Macaca fascicularis: one gene and its partners. The protein of the gene in region 1 interacts with the protein of each later gene in a pairwise test. Links are inferred from orthologs where the notes say so. Each region holds a gene or a part of one and is shown on either strand. Other genes may lie near its edges.

Region 1 (3,500 bases):
GACAGCTTATTGCAGAACTGGAAAACAAAAACAGGTAAGAGCGCAGAGGCTGAGCCCACTTCCAAAGTCCAGGATTATCTGATTATCATTTTCCTTGGATGGCTTTTGACCGCCCAGGAAGACCTTGCCGTGGTGAACCTAGGCTAGCCGAAGTCCAGGGAATGCCCTGGGCACTGATTTGTGTCTGTCTGCTCTGGTAGTCCACAGCTCTGCTCACCTGCCCTCGGGGGATTCCTTTTAGCAGGGCCTTCTCCCACCCATCCGTGTGACCCCCTCTCACAATTGCATTTTTCACTCTGCTTCCCAGCAGCATTTTGCTGTATCTAGTCATCTTGTCCTGACCCATTATGCTATGTAGGACTGTCTGGTCTCTCCTTAAAAAAAAAAAAAAAAAAAAGAAAAACCATTTAAAGGCACAGAGAGCAGACAGCACACCATTATGTACTGAAAGGTAGAAGCCAGGTCGAGGAGACCTGACCTAAGGTAACAGGCGTAGGTAGAGGCAACACAGCTGTCCACTGGGGCATCGGGGACAGGGGGAAGGAAGGGGCAGGTAAGGATTAAGGGAAGTCAGCACAGGACCTGCATTAGGAGATTGCAAGGAGTTCCCTTTTCCTCCTCCCTGAGTGGAACAGAGTAAATAAAGTATTCTGGCTGTAATTTTCCTTTCATGGAGATTTTTCAGGTCCTTGAGAAGAGTATTTTTATGACTTTTTCCACCACAAAGGATTGCTTTGTTGAGGAAATGTCAGGTGAAGCAGTATTGAGAAGGTGTCCATTTCACCTCTTGGCCATTTGGAAGCAATCAGAACAAGATTGGTAGAGGAGGCGCTGCTAGAGTTGAACACTTGTAATAGGGAAAGAGGGAGCGTGAGTGAGAAGCACTGTGCAGCCCCTTTCCATTCACACGTCCTCTCCAGAGAGATCCTGCAGGAGATTCAGCGTCTCCGCCTGGAACACGAGCAGGCCTCCCAGCCCACCCCTGAGAAGGCACAGCAGAACCCCACGCTGCTGGCAGAGCTGCGGCTGCTGAGGTGAGTAGGGACACTCTACCACTTCCCACATGTAATCTGCTATGGATGGAACTTGTCTGAGGAAACCAAAGGAGTGGGGAAGAATCTGTTGTTCAGTATAAACAATCCTGTGAGAGCAAACCACTGCAGAGTTCACCCATTCTGTTACTGCTTCAGATGTCTGGGTTCCATTAGAAATCACTCTACGAATGTCAGCCATTATCACAGAACTTAGTAAATACCAGTCTCCCAGCTCCGGAACCAGCGGGGCACTGTTTATACTTCTGTGATTGCTTTAAGAAGACCACTGTGCTGCAGTCCCTCTTCTTATCTTGCTAATTTGTCTGACTTTGGAGACAGTTGGCGGGAAGAATGCTTTGCTTTTCCTGTGAGTATATTTTCCTGGCTCTTTACAGTCAGTGCAGGGCTCTGCCAAAGGAGAAGGATGCTTCCTGTGCACGTCTCTGAGACATGAAACCCTTGCACCATGGCTTCTAAATGAAGTGTCTCAAGAATCAGGAAACTAAGGACATAGAATGAGAATGGGATTAGAGAGCAGTGTTACCACCATGTGTGACGCTGTTTTGGAGGGAATGGGGAAGTCTTCACAGAAATGATCTGATTATTAGGGTCTTATTGCCTATGAGCCTTAGGGGAAGGGGTGTGTGTGTGTGTGTGTGTGTGTGCACGCACATGCGTACACACTCTTCTGTAAGTTAAGATATTATGGAAACTACATTTAGTGACTTGATTCTCACCAGATCTCTAGATTTTCAAATAGTGGGTTCTTTCTGTTTAGGTTGATTTTTAATTTGCTATTATCTGGGATTCTGTGTAGCCTCTTGTTTCTTTTCCCAGAGAATGGAGATTATTGTTTTCTGTAGATAGTTTAGATTTAGATCATCAATAAAAGTTGTCATAGTAGAGTCATAAAGAATTTAAACTGGTGCAGGTGAAAAAAATCATTAGATGTATAGAGATTTTCATTCTCCTAAAAATTTATTTTAGTTTCTTCATGTAGTTAGGCTGAGATTTGGGTGGCTCTGTGGTTCACTGCTGCACGTCTGGGGTGTTAGTACAGCTGGTGTCGTACTAGGGAGGATGGGAGCACAAATGTTGCTGACTTGGGCAGACTGTAAGTCTAGGCTGTTGGCATAAGATGCACCTGTTGTCTAGTGCCTGATTTTATATCTAGAAAAGCAAAAAGGCCTGTCATCCTGAGTCTAACTGTTGCTGAAACTGGGATTGCTGAAAATGCTCAGTTAAGCTGGAAGGATCTAAAAATTATCTTAGATGTCGTAGCAGGGCTAAGTCCAGGAATGTCACATAGGATAGCAAGAAGCAGGAATGTAATCTGAGACCAACGAGCATCTGAAGGTGGAGAAATCAGAAAGTTTTTAACCTCAAAAGGAGTTCCTATATCACTGAAGAAAGGAGGGACTATTTTAAATTGTGCTGGGACAGTTGTTTATGCCTATGTACAAAACATGTTGGTCTTCTACCCCACACTAATTACAAAAACCGACACCAGATGGATTCGACATGAATACAGAACTTTAAAACTTCTAAAAGACTCGGGAGGCTGAGGCAGGAGAATTGCTTGAACCTGGGAGGCTGAGGTTGTGGTGAGCTGAGATTGCGCCATTGCACTCCAGCCTGGGCAACAAGAGCGAAACTCTGTCTCAAAAAAAAAAAAAACTTTCTAGAAGAAAAGTAGGAGAATGTCTTCAGGATTTTGGAATAGAAAGTAATATCTTAGAATTACCATGAAAGAAGAAGTTGGTAAATCCACTTATATTAATATTAAGAACTTTTGCTTATCAAAAGACACATAAAGGGCTGGATTCGCTTGTAGGTATCTGACATCCGTCTGCTTTTGATCAGTGTGTATGAGGCCTGGGACTGCCAGTACCCAGTTAGTATAATAAAACAAGGTGGACAACTTCACCCATAGGGTGAGTGGCTATGAGCCTTGCACCAGGGTTGCCTTTTCTTCCTTTATTATTATTTTTAATGGTATGTTGCTTACAATAAAATGTATGACAAATGTGCGTGTGACAAACGTTTATGAAGCATAATAGTCAAATGAATACTTATGAACCCACATCCTATTTGAGAACTCATATATGACTAAAACAATGTCATCCATAGAAGTACCTCTCCCTTACCCCATTTCCTTGCCTTCACCTTCCCCACTGGGTGAACCCCTATCCAGAATTTGGTTTATCATTACCTTGTGTTTAAAACAGTATTATCGCATTATCACTATCCTATGTAATAAACTGTTTAGTTTTGCCTTTTGTTTTCTGATCTTAATAGAAATATTGTACTAATATGGTGGGGATAGTCCCAGAGGACTTCCCTGTATACCCCCTACCCCTACCATATTAGCCTTTAGGATCATTCCATGTGGTTGGATGTAGCTGTAGCTCATTCATTTTCACCCTATACCATAATTGTTTGGTCACACACAGTACAGATAAAGAA
Region 2 (3,997 bases), on another chromosome or scaffold:
GCAACCTACTCCCCAGATTAAATGAGAGAGTGTAGAAACTGCAAAGCATACAACATACAGCATATAAGGATGGTGGTGATGGTAGCACAACAGTGGGAATTCAATGTCCCCAAACTGTACACTTTAAAAGTGGTTCAAATGGTAAATGTTATGTTTTCCATGTTTTCTGCAATTAAAAAACAAAAATGTACAAGGTACTCATTGGCAGCATCTTCTAATCTGCCATGTACTTGGAAATGATATAAGCATGTGTGAACCATGAGCCCATAGGTCCAGACAGAGGATATGAGCAAAGCACACGGGCTTTGTCAGCTCTGTTTCCACCATGCAGGACCCTCCCCGGCTGCCAGTGCTCCTCCCGGGGTTCCCACGCTGGCTGCTGCTGGCCTGGCTGGGATGGAAGACCCTCATGTAGCTGGCACCCTCAGGGCTGCCCCTTGCCCGCTCTGGGAGGAAAGCGGAGGATTCACACTGTACCTTTACCAGGGCGGGACTGAGCCAGCCTGGGCTCTACCCGGGCAGGTCGGTGGGATGCTTCAGACTAGGGGGAGAGGCAGGGGGCAACACTGGTCCTCCTGAAGCCACCTTTCCTTCCTGAGAGCTCCCTGGGGAGAAAGAAGGCCCTGAGAGCCACCGACTGGGGGCTGGGGCAGAGCAGGGGCAGCTTGGCCAGGCGGCACCCTTGGGAACCAGGGTTTCCTCATCTGTAAAATGTGACTCTGCGAGGGCAGGAGCTTGGTTTCTCTGGCTGCTGTACCCCCTGGGGCCTAGAACGAGGCTGGTTGGTACACAGAAGGCGTCTAATAAATGTTGAGGGATTGAATGGATGGACCGATGAAAAGGTTGGGCAGGTTGTTACTGACGGCCTCTGGGTTTCAAGGGCCCATTCACTCTGTCACTCACCTTCGCGCCCGTGCATTAGTTCCCTCATTTATTCATTCCTCCCGCAGGCTCTACCGCACTCATTCATTCATGCACTCTGCCATTCATGCACGCGCGGGTTCATTCATTCCCTGCCCCTCTGCCATTCCTCGCCCGCCCCCCGCGCACGCCGCACCCCCGCGCCCCTGCCCGGCCCTGCGCCCACCACGTGCGCCCCGGCCGAGCGCTGCGGGGGGGAAGTGCGGGCTCAGCCGCGGCTGCGCGGGGCCGGGGCTGGCGGGGAGCCGGGCTGGGGGCGGGGGGCGGGCGCTCCCTGCGGGAAGCCGGGCGGGGTGGGGGAGCCCCGGCCGCGCCGGCTCCCGGCGCGCTCGGCCTCGGAGGGGAGGGGGCGGCGGTAGCGGCGGCGGCGGCGGGACCCGAGCGCGGCGGCGGCGGTGAGCGGCGCGGCTGCCCCGGGGCCATGTGGACAGGCGGTCGCCGGCCGGGCCGGCTGCGCCGGGCGGTGAGTACCTGCGAGCCGGGAGGGCAGGGCGCGGGCGCGGGCGCGGAGGCGGGGCGGGCGCCACCCACGCCTGGGGCGGTCCCTGCTCGGCGCCGGAGGTGGCCGGCTCCCCGCCCTGCTCCCCTCCGCGCGGCGCCCCCGCCGTGGCGGCTTCACTGGCCCGGGAGGAGCCGGGCCGGGTCTCCTGGGAACTGGGCACTCTCGGGTGGGGCGGGGATGCCCGGCCTCCGCGCGCCGCCGCGAGCGCCCGGGTCCGATCGCGGGGTCCTTGCGCCCTGACACGCGCGCCCCTGCGGCGGGAGGAAGGGAGGGGCTGGGGACCCAGGGCGCGGCTGGAGGACTGGGGACGCGCCGCTGTCCCAGGCGGGTGGCGAGGGTGCGGGCAGGCCTGGACCCGCCTGCGTCAGGGGGCAGGGCCAGCCCCTGCTCGGGAGGCCGGAGAAAGGCCCGGGAGCCGGAAGGAGGCTGGACCCGGGGCCGCCTCATTGAGCGTTTGCAGCGCGTGGGCGCGCACGAGCCTCGGACACCACCATCCCATTCAGTGCCTCGCGGCAGGTACTATCCTCCTGCCCCTTTACAGGCGAGGAAACTGAGGCTCAGGGAGGCCAGGGCCTCGCCCAGAGCGGCTCAGCCAGCGCGCTCACCCTCCCTGAGCCCCAGCACGTTGGATGGGAATTTCTGCCCCAGCGTTTCCGCTTCCTGCTTGGTTTAGAGGTGTTTCCTTCCTCATCTGTGCCCCACCCCATCCCCAATGTGGTTTCCTCAGGGCAGGAACAGCGTGGGCGACACGCTGGAGTCTCCTGAGCAGGCAGAATGGGAGCAGAGTGGGCACCCGGGAGCGGGCCGGATGGGTAGGGAGCATTGCACGTGCAGAGTCCGCATGGCCAAGGTCGGGCCAGTGCAGATTGGGGGTCCAGTCCTGGGGGTATGGGTGGGGCGGGGTCTCCACGGCCACGCTCCGTCGGAGGCCCCAGTGCTCTGGCTCTCTGGAGGCCATGGACAGGTCCTTTTCCTTCTCTGGGCCCCAGTTCCTCTGCCTGTCAAGAGCCGCAGCGACCCCCACCACTCCCAGGGCCAGGCTCCCACGAGGACTGTGGGCAAAAGCCCCTAACAAACTGTGGTGTGCAGCCCTGCCAGGCTGGGCTTGGTCTTGCCAACCGAGGCAAGTGGCCGTTGGGGGTGGCTCTGCCTGGCATCTGTGACACGAAGGGCGGGGAGACGGCAACAAGGGCCCCAGCAGCATCCTGCAAACCCTTAATTTTCCCGACTCTCACTATAATCAGGGCGGCTTGGAAAAGCAAGCACCGTGGCAGATGCGGCTCTGCCTGGGCTCGGAACGCGGGCTCGGGGCGATGGGCGGCTGCGCTGCTGCCCAGGGCCCTCCCCAGCTTTTGTCTCATATTTATAGATTCCTACGCTCCGCGTTCCGTTTGTCGTCAAAACCTGGAACTGTTCGCACCTGGGAGCTGAGTGGGGAGGAGGGCTGCCTAGGACCTCAGCTTGGAGGATGAGTTTTCCATGGGCTGGAGTGGAGTGGGGGGACACCTGTCAGATCCCAGGGCCGGGGAGAGGAAATGAGCCCTAAGCAATCTGGATGATCTTCCATCCACTCTCCCAAGACTAGGGCACAGGGTCTGGCCCACATAGCTGCCATTTATGGAACGCCTGCTATGTGCTGGGCCCTGGATCAGCATTTCCACGCATCATCTCCACGGCAACACTTTGAAGGAGCTTCCCTACTCCTGCAGGCACTCCTGATGTTGAAGAGTGGATGGATGGATAGACGGATGGATGGATGGATGGATGGATGGATGGATGGAAGGGATGGATGAATGGTTGGATGAGAGGGAGGGAGGGAGGGATGGATGGATGGATGGATGGGAGAGAGGGATGGATGGATGGATGGATGGATGGATGGATGGATGGATGGTTGGATGAGAGGGAGGGAGGGAGGGATGGATGGATGGATGGGAGAGAGGGATGGATGGATGGGTGGATGGATGGATGAGAGAGAGGGAGGGATGGATGGGAGGGAGGGATGGATGGATGGAAGGGAGGGATGGATGGATGGATGGATGGATGGGAGGGAGGGATGGATGGATGGATGGATGGAAGGGAGGGATGGGAGGGACTGGCTGCAGCCCATGAGTCCATGACTATTGAACATAGTCCACAAATCATTACCCAGGGTCAGAGGAGGTGGGGCCCAAGGGCTGAGTAGTTGCTGAACAGATGAAGGGGTCAAGGCGTGTTACCAGAGCTTGGCCCAAGGCCTGAAAGTGATGGGGAGAGTGTAGAGTGTTCAAGTCTCAAGACTTAGAGAGGCTGTGCCCTGCTGGAGTGTGGAGGCCATGGTGGTGGGGAGGTGTGGCTGCTCCCCCTAAGGGAGGTAAGGATCCCTGGGACAGATCGGAAGGTGACCCTAGGACTTGCCATGTTGGTCTAGAATCACCCCGCAGGGTTCTCTCCTGGCTCCCCCTCCTGCCGAGAGCTGGTCACTAGCCTTAGTGGAGAGTCCTGGACGGAGGTCTGCAGCCCTGGGTTCTGGTTCTTCCTCTGCCGCTGACTCACCGTCTCCTCTCTAGGGCTCCGTATCAGAATCTTAACACCCAT
Region 3 (4,276 bases), on another chromosome or scaffold:
ATGCCTTGGCCTAAACAAGGGTTTATGTTTGTAGAAAACTCACAGTACAAGATATAAAGGGGACTTATACTCTGGGCAGTATTGTACCTCATAGCATAGAGGGACACTGATGCTAACATGTAGACTTAGAGCCAAATCAGCCCCACAACAATTGTTTTCATTTTTTTCATTTTGTTTTATGAAAATTTTGCTTATATGCATATTTAGACAACCACACAGAGGAAAGGAGGTGACCTAGGGAAAAGAATGTTTTCAATTAAAATTAAGCCTTATGTTTTATCTCATACACATTTTGCTGGGGAAAATAGCCATGTTATGACAATAATATTCTAAAACGCAAAATGTATAATTAACTATTAAGGTAAACATCACAGTCTGACTCTATAATTTTTTTTTATTTTTGTCTATTACTCATTTCAGTCGCAAGCAGTTGAATGTTTGACATAGAAAAATGAGTCTGTCACTTTAACAAATGGTACAATAAAAACACTCAAACAAAAATTTTAGTAGGGATTATTATAACTATAAAAAGAATATCTTTCTTTAAAAAATGCTACCAATGTTTTCTATCAATTTGGGGCTCGCCTGTTGCATAAAAGTAATAAGGAACAAGATGAAGAAGACTTCTATTGGCAAAGAATGATTTACATGCTGAATGACATAATACAACTGCATTCACTTAATACAGAAAAAAAAGAGCCTGCATTCAGAACCATTAAATGATCATTAACTCAATGTCTAAGAAAATGGTGTTTTAAGAATTGGCAGCAGAGAAATGGAAGAAAGAATAATTTGTTAGTAAAGAAGTTTTATCATAATTCACAACTGAAATTTAGGATTTGAGAAAAATGTCTTTGCTCCATTATAAGAATATTCTTTATTTTAGCAGGAAAACATGTCCCATGAGACCTACACACACATTCTGCCTTCAGAATTCAGCTGCTGTGTTCTGCTGCTGCTTCTCTTATTCAGACTGTTGGCATCATCAATACATGACTTTTGCAATCAAAAATCTCAAGGGGAAAAAATAACTTTGGTAGGCAGTGGATACATAACAAATGCATAGATTATTCTGGGCATTTCTTTTTATTTGGTAGAGTGAAATTTTTGGTGTTGTTGAGAGGATAAAAAAGGCATTTAAAAGTCAATTTTAAATCGGGATTTTCTGCTCTGTTATAAATTCACATGAAAGTTACAGAAAATATTGTTATGGTTTTGTACTGAATAGTTTTTGTGTTTGGAAGGCTTTAAAAGCTAGTACTATGTCCACTGTGCTATTCTGGTTTGGATATTAATCAGAACACAGTTGAGCATTATTTGAATTCACAGAGCTTGCCATGCTGGAAGCACAACCTTATATGTAGTGACCATGGACAGTCCTATTATGGGAAACCAACTTGAGAGAGAAGGCGGGTCACTTGCTTGTGCGCAGGTCCTGGAATTTGAAATATCCAGGGGCCTCTACAGAATCCTGGCATCAGTTACTGTGTTGACTCACTCAGTGTTGGGATCACTCACTTTCCCCCTACGGGACTCAGATCTTAGAGGCAATTACCTTCAGAGAAAAATGAATAGGAAAAACTGAAGTGTTATTTTTTTAAAGCTGCTGAAGTTTGTTGGTTTCTCATTGTTTTTAAGCCTACTGGAGCAATAAAGTTTGAAGAACCTTTACCAGGTTTTTTTAATCGCTGCCTTGATATACACTTTTCAAAATGCTTTGGTGGGAAGAAGTAGAGGACTGTTGTAAGTACAAAGTAACTAAAAATGTATTTTACTGTGGCATAATGTTTAGTTTGTGACAAACTCACTAATTAGGTAGATTGATTTTAAATTATCACAGTAGTTTGCAAAGAAGCATAAATGTTATATATACTGCATATATATATGTATTTATTCAGGAATATATATTTTTCATTGGGAAAACTTTTCAATAGAAATTGAGTTTATAAGTTTTTCTTTGCAGAAGAATTAAACACATGATTTCTTGATTAATAAGCCACTGCAGTAATAGAATATGCAGAATGTCATTTGATTATAACAGATTATTTTGATTGCTGTGAGATAGTTTGTATATCTCAGTTATTATTTTGACTAGTTGATACTTCTGTATTTAGTAACAGTTACATAAAGGTTACTGACCTGACATATATTCTCAATTGAACTAACTACTGTATAGGAACTACATGGAGGCCTAAAAGTTAGGAGAAGTTTCTCTGACATATGGAGAAAATAAAGAATAAAATGAGTTGGGATGGAAAATTGAAGGATGTGAAAAGTATTGATAAAGATTTAATTGTAATGTTGCTTTCTCACATTTACTATTTCAAATGCTCTTTTCTATAGCATACCATGATGATTATTTCAAATAATGATGTGATCTATGCTATCAAATGATCAGATGATCTCTTGGGAAAACAACATACAAACTTGAGGAACTCCTAATTATGTTTAGTAGTAAATTATATTTAGTAGATGTTTCAAGTCTATCATGAGCTAGCTTTTCAGTTCAATTTTTTAGTTTGTCTTCCATATAGAAATGCAACTATTTTGTTTATTTTTAAGAAAGTCATGATGACTATTGAAGGATTTAAAAATGGACTGTGGCACAACAGTAAAAATAATATATGATAAGGACTGTGTGTCCCAAAAAGATGGGAGTTTATCTCTTCCCCACCTATCTTTGACTTGTGGAGTATAGTTATTCTAAAATAGATATGAGAGCGATGCCTATAATTAAGAATGAAAAAATAAGTCTCTCCAAATAAGTAATGCTCCACAACTACTAAAAAAAAAAAAAAAAAAGGCAGACGTTTTACCACTGTGAAAAATTTGTGGAAATAAGTTAACATTGTCCATGTATTGAGTCACATTAAAAGCTACCAGATTTTATAATACAACATTTAGTTACATTGTTTGCTTGCTTCATAAATTTCTTTTGGTGAGTATCATTATTGCTTTTAGATTGAAAAACTATTATATTTACTATCATTACAAAAATATGCATGGCATATATCTGTTGTTTGCAATATACACATATACACATATTTTTATTTATCATTTTTATTTCTTTGATATATGTAATATAAATACTATCAAAATCGCTAGTGATTTTATATATATATATATATTCTATATAATTAACCACATATACCAGTATATAGAGCAATTTTGAAAGAATATATGCAATTCTGCTGGAATGAAGCAAGGTAAACCTATCCTCTGCTTTGTCATAGATAGTTGAAAAACTTTCAGTTCTTCGAATGTGAAGGAAGGTAATCTTTTTGGAACATGTCCTGTAGGATTTTTTCACACTGCATTTAAAAAATCATCAAGTAATGCCTATGCAACATGACAATGAGTTTGTTAAGGAAAATGGAGATATACTCAGGGCTATATTATACATTAAATTTTGTTGCTTGACAATATACTACTATTTGGATGTCTGACATTTGAATCTGGTTTGTAAATTCGCCTTAGTTTGAAAAACTTATAAAAGTACATTTTGTTTTTTAAACAGAATAGTTACTCTGTAAAAGAGATCACTGTATTGTCAAACACATTGTATTGTTTACTTTTAGAATTACTCAAATAATGCATTGTAAAGAATTATTCAAATAGTGTATGGCAAATAGATATTTCATTTGAATATATTTAAATGATGTAAGTCATCTTGAGGTCTAACAAAATCATCTTTTAGAATTTCATTTGCAGAATCTTTTAAAGACATCTTAACTATGAAAAAGAGATCGCTGATCTAAATTGATGATATACTGTTAATACAAAGTTTTGGTGTATCTTACATGGCATAACATTATGAAAAATACAACAGAGTATGTCATATAGATGTTATTCTAAACTTTAAAAAAGACTACAAAGTGTTTTATGCATAATTACATTATTTAAGGGGAAATAGGTGTTGGTTGACACTTCTAGCTAGACAGTACTGAATTGCAAATTCATCATTTGGGCAGAGATATTAATACAGCTTCCTCTTTATTCCTATAGCATTCATTTGAAATCCCTGTACTCCACGTCATTTGCTATATATGAAACAAATTGTCAAGTTTTTAACCACTTGTGTAGTTTAATAAAAGAGATTAAAATCATTGCCTTGGAAACATCAGGTGTTTTTCAAAATTCTATTTTATTATCTTTCATCAAAATTTTATCTCAAGAGTAAAACAAACTGATTTCCCAAACTTTCCTTCTCCTCCCACTTTCTATTGTAATATTTTCCTAACTTATTAAAAATGATTTATCATACTCTTTCATCAAT
Region 4 (4,040 bases), about 24 Mb from region 1:
GAGGTCAGGAGATCGAGACCATCCTGGCTAACACGGTGAAACCCCGTCTCTACTAAAAATACAAAAAACTAGCCGGGCGAGGTGGCGGCACCTGTGGTCCCAGCTACTCGGGAGGCTGAGGCAGGAGAATGGCGGGAACCCGGGAGGCGGAGCTTGCAGTGAGCTGAGGTCCGGCCACTGCACTCCAGCCCGGGCGACAGAGCGAGACTCCGTCTTAAAAAAAAAAAAAAAAAAAAAAAAAAAAAAAAGTGGGTAGCCTTGTATGCCCCCTCACTCCCCCGCCGCACTGGAATCTATCCTAAACTTACTTTCATTTACATTAAAACGGGACGGTTTGAGTCTACCAAACCCAATACCGCATCTGTGAGGCTCCTTTTGGCACAAACCTGAATGAACAGCGGGAACCGCCGCCTCCGCGGGCGCCTGAGATCTGGGGTCCCCTCCCCACCCGGTCTCCCCGCTCCAGCCCCCGCCCCATGAGCCCCAGGAAGGCACCGCCGAGCGCCGGGTCCTCGCAGGGTCCGGGAGACTCCGCGGACCGGAGGCGGGATGGGGGGCCCGAGCTTTGGGGGCGGGAAGGGAGGGTGGGAGGAGGAGGAGGGGAGCGGGGTTGGGGGAAGTTGGGGCTTCTGTATCTTTTCTCTGGGTCAGGACATCCTCGGGCCCTGCGCTGTTTCTCCAAGGGCTGGGGAGACGCCGTGGGGAAAGGTCTGAGGATGCGGCCGGCGCGCACAGGTGTGGGGGCTTCAGAGGGCCCGGGAGGACCCATGGGCCTCGAGGCTGTGGACTGGAAATGCCCCTGATGAGAAGCTGAGAACCTTTGGCCAGGGAGGTGGGGCGGCCGGGAGAGGTCGTCAAGCCGGTCCACAGCGCGCCCGTCTGCGCCCCAAAGGAGCGGGGGTGCCCCCCTCCCATCCACCCACCCGCCGCCGCCGCGCGCCGCGGACCTCGGCGACCCAGCCCGGGTAGAAGCGCGCGCTCCCCGCCTCCAGCCTCGTGCGCCGGCCCCTGCCCCGCCGGCCCCGCGATGGTGCCCCCTCCACCCCCGCGGGAGCGCCCCTGTCCCCCAATCCTGGCACTTTCCCCGGAGTCGCGCGCCGGTTTCCCGACCCGTGGGAGCGCCCCTCTCCCGACTCCCGCGGATCCGCGCTCGCCGCCCTCCCCGCGGGTGCGCGCCCGGCCCCTCCTTCACCCGGGGCGGGTCTGCGTGGGCGGCGCTCCCGGGCGGCGGGCGGAGCTCGGGTTCCCCAGCTCCGCGCCCCGCTGTAGCCTGAGCTGGAGCCGGAGCCGGAGCCGGCCGAGGGGCGCGGACGCCAGGCTCCTGGCTCCAGGGCGGGGTCCTGGCGTTGAGCTCGGCCGGCCCGGAGCGCGGACCCAGCCGCAGGGGTAGCGATGAGCACCGAGGGACCCCCGCCCCCGGCCGCCCCCCGCGGACGTCCGGGCTGCCTGCTGGTGCCTGCGCGGGTGAGTGCGGCCCCTCTGCGCCCCTGCACCCCCGGCCCGCTTCCTTCTCCTTCGCGCCCGTCTCCCTCCACGCCCACCTCGTTCCCCGCGACCCCTTCCCTGTCTCCGCGGGCGGCTGGTCGGAGGGTGGACGCCGGAGCCCCGGGACGCAATGGGCACCCGCCCCCTGGCCGCTCTGCTCCCTCCAGCGCGGTGTCTTACTGGAAACTTGCAGGCTTTGCTCTTCGAGTGTCTTGCAAGGCTTGGTTTTGGGGTGCACGGGCTTCCCTAAACTGCGTGGGAGGTAACGCTTTCCAGAATTTGGAATTTGAGATCGGCCCCACATTCCTTCCCAGGAGCGGCTCCTTTGGGTCCAGGCGGTGGTGCGGACCGGAGCGTCCCCCCTGCAGCCTTCTGGCGCCCAGGCCGGGTCTGAGCTGGCTGGAGTGAGCCTGGCCAGGTGCGTGGCGCGGCCTCGGCAGGTGCTGGGGGCTCTTGGCCATTCGGGGAGCCGCTGGGACGCCAACTGGGTAATACGGTTTCTTTTTTGAAGTCTATTCTAGTTCTTACCCGAAATAACTCCCTCTCTACCTTCTTACTTTTAAATAACTAAACTATTGATTGACAGAAAACAAGTATTAGTTCAAAGAAAAACGAAAAGTTCTTGGAAACCTTCAAGTTGCCACCCACAGCACAGCCCCAAGTTGTGAAAGCAGTTTAAGGGAGCACGTGGCCACCCCAGCCCTAGGAAGCTGCCTGGGAGCGCGGCTGTTCAGGAAAATGCATTGACAACCACTCCTTTAGGATTCCTTCCCCAGGAGCTCCCAGTCCCCGGAGCCACCAGGAATAGGACAGCTGAGAGACGGTTCAGAAGGCCACAGGCTGAGGGCTGCTACACATTCCTATTGTCATAATAACGATTCTAAACTAGGACAGTGGTTGTAGCTACTGTGTGATGTTAAAAATTATGGAGATAGATGCATCTTCATTCAAGTCGTACCTTTCTGGGCTTTTACTACAAAATATGAAAATTAAATTTCATGTAAAATGTGGGTGTTTATTTCTTGACGTATTTGTAACATGAATAGCCATCCCGCTGTTGCCCATGGTAATCAAACCCGAGAAAGTACGCGGGGATTACCTGGAAATAAACTGCAGTAAAAACTGCAGGCGCTCTGGAATCACAGCTTTCCCTCTGGTCACCGCCTTCAGCTTTAAAATGATGCCCTCCCATGGTTAGGAATTGTGCGTTTTTCTCGAGACATTCTTGCAGCAAGTCTTGCTTTTAATCATTGTAATTATAGCAGAAGCTTTGAAGTGGATTCATCATACTTCATAATTGACCCACTTGATGAGTTATTGGCAATAACGTCAACAAATACAGCAACTGCGCGTATTCTAGTAAATGTTCTCATTTGTGCTCAGTGTTAATTAAGGGGCTGAATTTGATGTTTTCCAGTCAAGGGTGGCCTCTGCTCACCTGTTTGCTACAAGATGTGATTGGTGCTTTCTTTGTAATAAGGACCTTGATTATTTGAAACAGCCTATCTGAATTGTGTTGAAAGAAACTTTTTTTTCAGCGTTGGAAGCCAATTATTACAATAAGACGGAGCGTTTTAAGACCACGACTCCTAACTTTGCAGTCATAAGTAATTAGGTAGGTGCTGAGCCTACCTTAGACACCTTAGCCTACCTTAGACATTAGACACGGTCGTGTTAGCTCAGATTCTTATTTATTTAAAACGAATCTGTTAAGTATCGGTGTTGGCAGGTTTGTCTTGAATGTTCTTAGCATACAATGTCATCCTTGCTTAATGGCAGAGACAACTGCGCAGAATTATTTTCTTACCATAACTGCATAATATTATTCAACTTGTGTAATTATTTCATCATTTCAGTGAAGAGAACTTGGTGCTTTTAACTGGAAAAAGGTGAAAGTCTTTTCTAAATCTTACCTTTCTAGTCATTTTTTTTTCTATCTGGAGTTGAAACCGTACACATTCTTTATCATGACTCCTTGTCTGAATCATGGAATTTGGCCACATTTGAAGGTCTCCTGTTCAGTAGCAAAACTGTCTTGTGTCCCCTTTCTCGTGCCTGTTCTCGATGTCTTTTTCTAAGTTAAGTCAGTTCATGGAGCTCTGTCTCTGACCATACCTGGATTTTGTCTGTCCGTGATAAAATCCCACGGACAGACAACCCTCAGTACAATGTGCTAAGTGTGTCTTGCTTGTAGCTTCAAAGACTACTATTGGTTGATGTTTACAGCATATTTGCTGCTTTTAAATGACAGCACTACTTCTGTCTGGGGCACGGGAAGAATCCTTGACATGAGCTAGGAACGTGCCCGTTTATACGATGAGCTTGCCCACTGAAAGGGGCACATTAGGTCATTTTAAAAGTGCATTTGCTAAGGGCACCACTTAATCATCTGTTTACAGATAGGAATTGCTGCATGAGATGAATGAAGCCTCTGACCTCCTAAGAAGGTTACCCATTCCTTCTATGCTTTGGGTATGTTTCTCATCCTTGCTGACTCATCTTTAATTTCAATTGTAGAATTTCTGTTGATGTCTATGACATCATAAGCAAAACTC
Region 5 (3,082 bases), on another chromosome or scaffold:
TTTTTTTTTGAGGCAGTGTCTTGTTCTGTCACCGATCTCAGCTCACTGCAACCTCCTCCTTCCGGGTTCAAGCAAGCCTCATGCCTCAGCCTTCCGAGCAGCTGGGATTACAGGTGTGTGCTGCCATGCCCAGCTAATTTTTTCATTTTTAGTAGAGATGGGGTTTCGTCATGTTGCCCAGGCTGATCCTGAACTCCCAGCCTCAAGTGGTCTGCCTGCCTTAGCCTCCCAAAGTGCTGGGATTACAGGCATGAGTCAACTGCACCTGGCCAATTTTTTAATTTTTTGAGATAGGATCTTGCTGTGTTGCCCAAGCTGGAGTGCAATAAGTAGCATAGTCATGGCTCACTGCAGCCTCAGCCTCCCAGGCTCAAGTGATCCTCTCGCCTCAGCCTCCCAAGTAGCTGGGACCACAGGCAGACACTACCATGCCCTGCTAATCAAACACTTTAGAAACATAATTGTGTCATTTTAACAAGTTACTGTGTAGAGTGTAGAAATCTTAGAGGATCAATAAAAGAGCCAAAAAAAAAAAAAAATCCCCAAATAAGTTACTGTGAAAAGTAATGGTCAAAGTTTTCTATCACCTGATGTAAATGATTTGCGAGTAAGCTTGCCAAGCCTGTCTTAAAGGATGCCTATATTCAAAGCCAAGAAAAGTCCCAGTTTGTAATTGTGTTGCTATTATAAATAACCATTCAGATAGTCCCTTCTTGCAGCAGTAGAATATTTTTGAATGGAGGGACTCCTGACATTACTTTCCTAAAATCACAAAAGGCTCTCACTCTCAGGGTTTTGTTTTGTGTGGATAACTTTCTCTTACAGTCACATCTCTCCTAGGATGGGAGCAATAAAGCCTGTGGGTGCCATGAAAGGATGGGTACCTCACCAGAGAGGACTGGTCTCAGCAATGCCCTTAAGTGGTCAAAACATGCTGCGGTTGAGGTCAGGATTGTGAGGGGATAGAGGTGAGGTAGGGAAGTAACTGAGTGCATTTAGACTGAGATGAATAGCAACCTAGAAATTGAGGGGAAGAGCTGTTGATGAGCTCTTTCTGGCATGAGGAGTAGGGGTAGCTCAAGGTGGATTTTGATGCAGGAGTCACTGGGCAGGAATTTAAGAGACTTCCATTGTGACGCTACGGATAGGCCACAATGGTGCAGTGACAAAATAAAGACCTGGTTGCTAGGGCCAGAGAATAAACACCGGGTGCCTAGAGGAGAAGAGATGGAGCCCCAGCCCTGGTCCCCTTTCCCACCCTTCCTCCCCACAAGGCTGTCTGAGATGCCACCTTCCACCTAAACATCAGCTCCCCAATTTTAATCCTTAACTTTGGTCCCTGACTTCTGCTTGATCTCCAGCCACATTTGCACGAAGGAACATCACCTGTCCATCCTGGAATCTCTAAGGTTTTCTGCTTTCCTTCTGTCCCAATGGCCAACTCTGCGAAGTCAGCTGAGATGCCCACCATCTCCAAAACCCTTAACCCTACTCCTGATCCTCATCAAGAATCTCTGGACCCTAGGATTACCATTGCCTTATTCGAAATTGGATCACTTTCCCCTTCCTCCTGGGGCTCTCTCCCTTCCCTAAAGAATAGCAGCCATCAAGTTACAGAACAACAGACTGCAGAGAAGTTTAACAGTCTCTTGAAAGAAATTAAAGATATTCTTAAAAATATGGCAGGTTTTGAAGAGAAGATCACAGAAGCAAAAGAACTTTTTGAGGAAACCAATATTTCTGAGGATGTGTCAGCCCACAAAGAAAATATCAGAGGACTTGACAAAATCAATGAAATGTTATCAACAAACCTGCCTGTTAATTTAGCCCCAGAGAAAGAAGAGAATGAACATAAACAGGAGATGATATTGGAAAACCAGGACTCTGAGAACATAGTACAAGTTTTTGCAAGAGATTTGGTAAATCGTTTAGAAGAAAAAAAAGTCAACGAAACTCAACAAAGTCAGGAAAAAGCGAAAAACAGGCTCCTTAATGTTCAAGAAGAAACTATGAAAATTAGGAACAACATGGAGCAATTACTACAGGAAGCAGAACACTGGAGTAAACAACATACTGAGCTCAGTGAACTGATAAAATCCTATCAGAAATCTCAGAAAGACGTAAGTGAAACTCTCAGAAATAATGGAGTCGACTTCCAAACCCAGCCAAATAATGAAGTGTCAGCTAAGCATGAGCTGGAGGAACAGGTGAAGAAACTGAGCCATGACACCTATTCATTGCAGTTGATGGCAGCTTTGCTAGAGAATGAATGCCAAATCTTACAGCAGAGAGTAGAGATTCTCAAGGAACTCCATCATCAGAAACAGGGAACTCTGCAAGAGAAGCCAATTCAGATAAACTGTAAACAGGACAAGAAAAATCAGAAGCCATCAGAAGCAAAGAAAGTAGAAATGTATAAGCAGAACAAGCAAGAAATGAAGGGTACGTTTCGTAAAAAAGACAGATCCTGTAGAAGCCTGGATGTTTGTCTTAATAAGAAAGCTTGCAATAACCAGTTCAATATTCATGTTGCAAGAAAAGCTCTTAGGGGAAAAATGAGGTCAGCTAGCAGCCTAAGATAGAAAATACCAAAAGCAGACGAAAAGGTGAATCCTTAAAAAACTACATCTGATACATCCAGCTTGTCAGGCATGATCAATCATCAGACCTTGGGCAGATCTGCTGATTCAACCAAGAAAAAGTTATAGAATAAGAAGATTAACACTTACATTACTCATTACCTCAGCAGTTATGTAAGTCCGGTCTTTGATGACCATTGTGTCTACATCAGGTTCATAACTTTTCACCTTTACAATCTGCTTGTTTTTTTTTTTTGTAATTATTAGATAGACAGCCTAGAGTGAGAAGTTACAGGTCCAATTAAGTAAAGATCTAAATTAAAACCAGAATACAAGGGAACATTTTTTTTTCTTTATTTAATCATTGCCTGGGGGCAGGGGGAGTTCTGGGGGAAAAAAGTGTATAGTGTTTTTGGCCAGGTGCAGTGGTATTTTGGGAGGCCAAGGTGGGAGGATTGCTCAAGGCCAGGAGTTTGAGACAAACCTGAGCAACACAGCAAGAT

What was found.
Region 2: the proteins of DTNB (region 1) and BEGAIN interact in binary tests that used the Homo sapiens proteins (3 or more experiments, as listed by UniProt). The two-hybrid records come from large-scale screens. The link is inferred for Macaca fascicularis from reciprocal best matches to the Homo sapiens genes DTNB and BEGAIN.
Region 3: the proteins of DTNB (region 1) and DMD interact in binary tests that used the Homo sapiens proteins (3 or more experiments, as listed by UniProt). The link is inferred for Macaca fascicularis from reciprocal best matches to the Homo sapiens genes DTNB and DMD.
Region 4: the proteins of DTNB (region 1) and SNTG2 interact in binary tests that used the Homo sapiens proteins (3 or more experiments, as listed by UniProt). The link is inferred for Macaca fascicularis from reciprocal best matches to the Homo sapiens genes DTNB and SNTG2.
Region 5: the proteins of DTNB (region 1) and SPZ1 interact in binary tests that used the Homo sapiens proteins (3 or more experiments, as listed by UniProt). The two-hybrid records come from large-scale screens. The link is inferred for Macaca fascicularis from reciprocal best matches to the Homo sapiens genes DTNB and SPZ1.

What each region holds. Positions count from the first base shown.
Region 1 is NC_088387.1:96,815,695-96,819,194, forward strand, and holds part of DTNB (dystrobrevin beta), read left to right. Parts: coding exon 1-34; intron 35-920; coding exon 921-1,034; intron 1,035-3,500.
Region 2 is NC_088381.1:168,677,852-168,681,848, reverse strand, and holds the start of BEGAIN (brain-enriched guanylate kinase-associated protein), read left to right. Parts: upstream 1-1,197; 5' UTR 1,198-1,342; coding exon 1,343-1,384; intron 1,385-3,997. UniProt on the Homo sapiens protein: May sustain the structure of the postsynaptic density (PSD).
Region 3 is NC_088395.1:33,307,148-33,311,423, reverse strand, and holds the start of DMD (dystrophin), read left to right. Parts: upstream 1-1,476; 5' UTR 1,477-1,712; coding exon 1,713-1,743; intron 1,744-4,276. UniProt on the Homo sapiens protein: Anchors the extracellular matrix to the cytoskeleton via F-actin. Ligand for dystroglycan.
Region 4 is NC_088387.1:121,138,741-121,142,780, reverse strand, and holds the start of SNTG2 (gamma-2-syntrophin), read left to right. Parts: upstream 1-1,240; 5' UTR 1,241-1,392; coding exon 1,393-1,464; intron 1,465-1,787; exon of another isoform or gene 1,788-1,799; coding exon 1,800-1,973; intron 1,974-4,040. UniProt on the Homo sapiens protein: Adapter protein that binds to and probably organizes the subcellular localization of a variety of proteins. May link various receptors to the actin cytoskeleton and the dystrophin glycoprotein complex.
Region 5 is NC_088380.1:84,272,909-84,275,990, forward strand, and holds SPZ1 (spermatogenic leucine zipper protein 1), read left to right. Parts: upstream 1-1,370; 5' UTR 1,371-1,433; coding exon 1,434-2,582; downstream 2,583-3,082. UniProt on the Homo sapiens protein: Transcription factor that binds to the DNA sequence 5'-CANNTG-3'(E box) and the G-box motif. May play an important role in the regulation of cell proliferation and differentiation during spermatogenesis.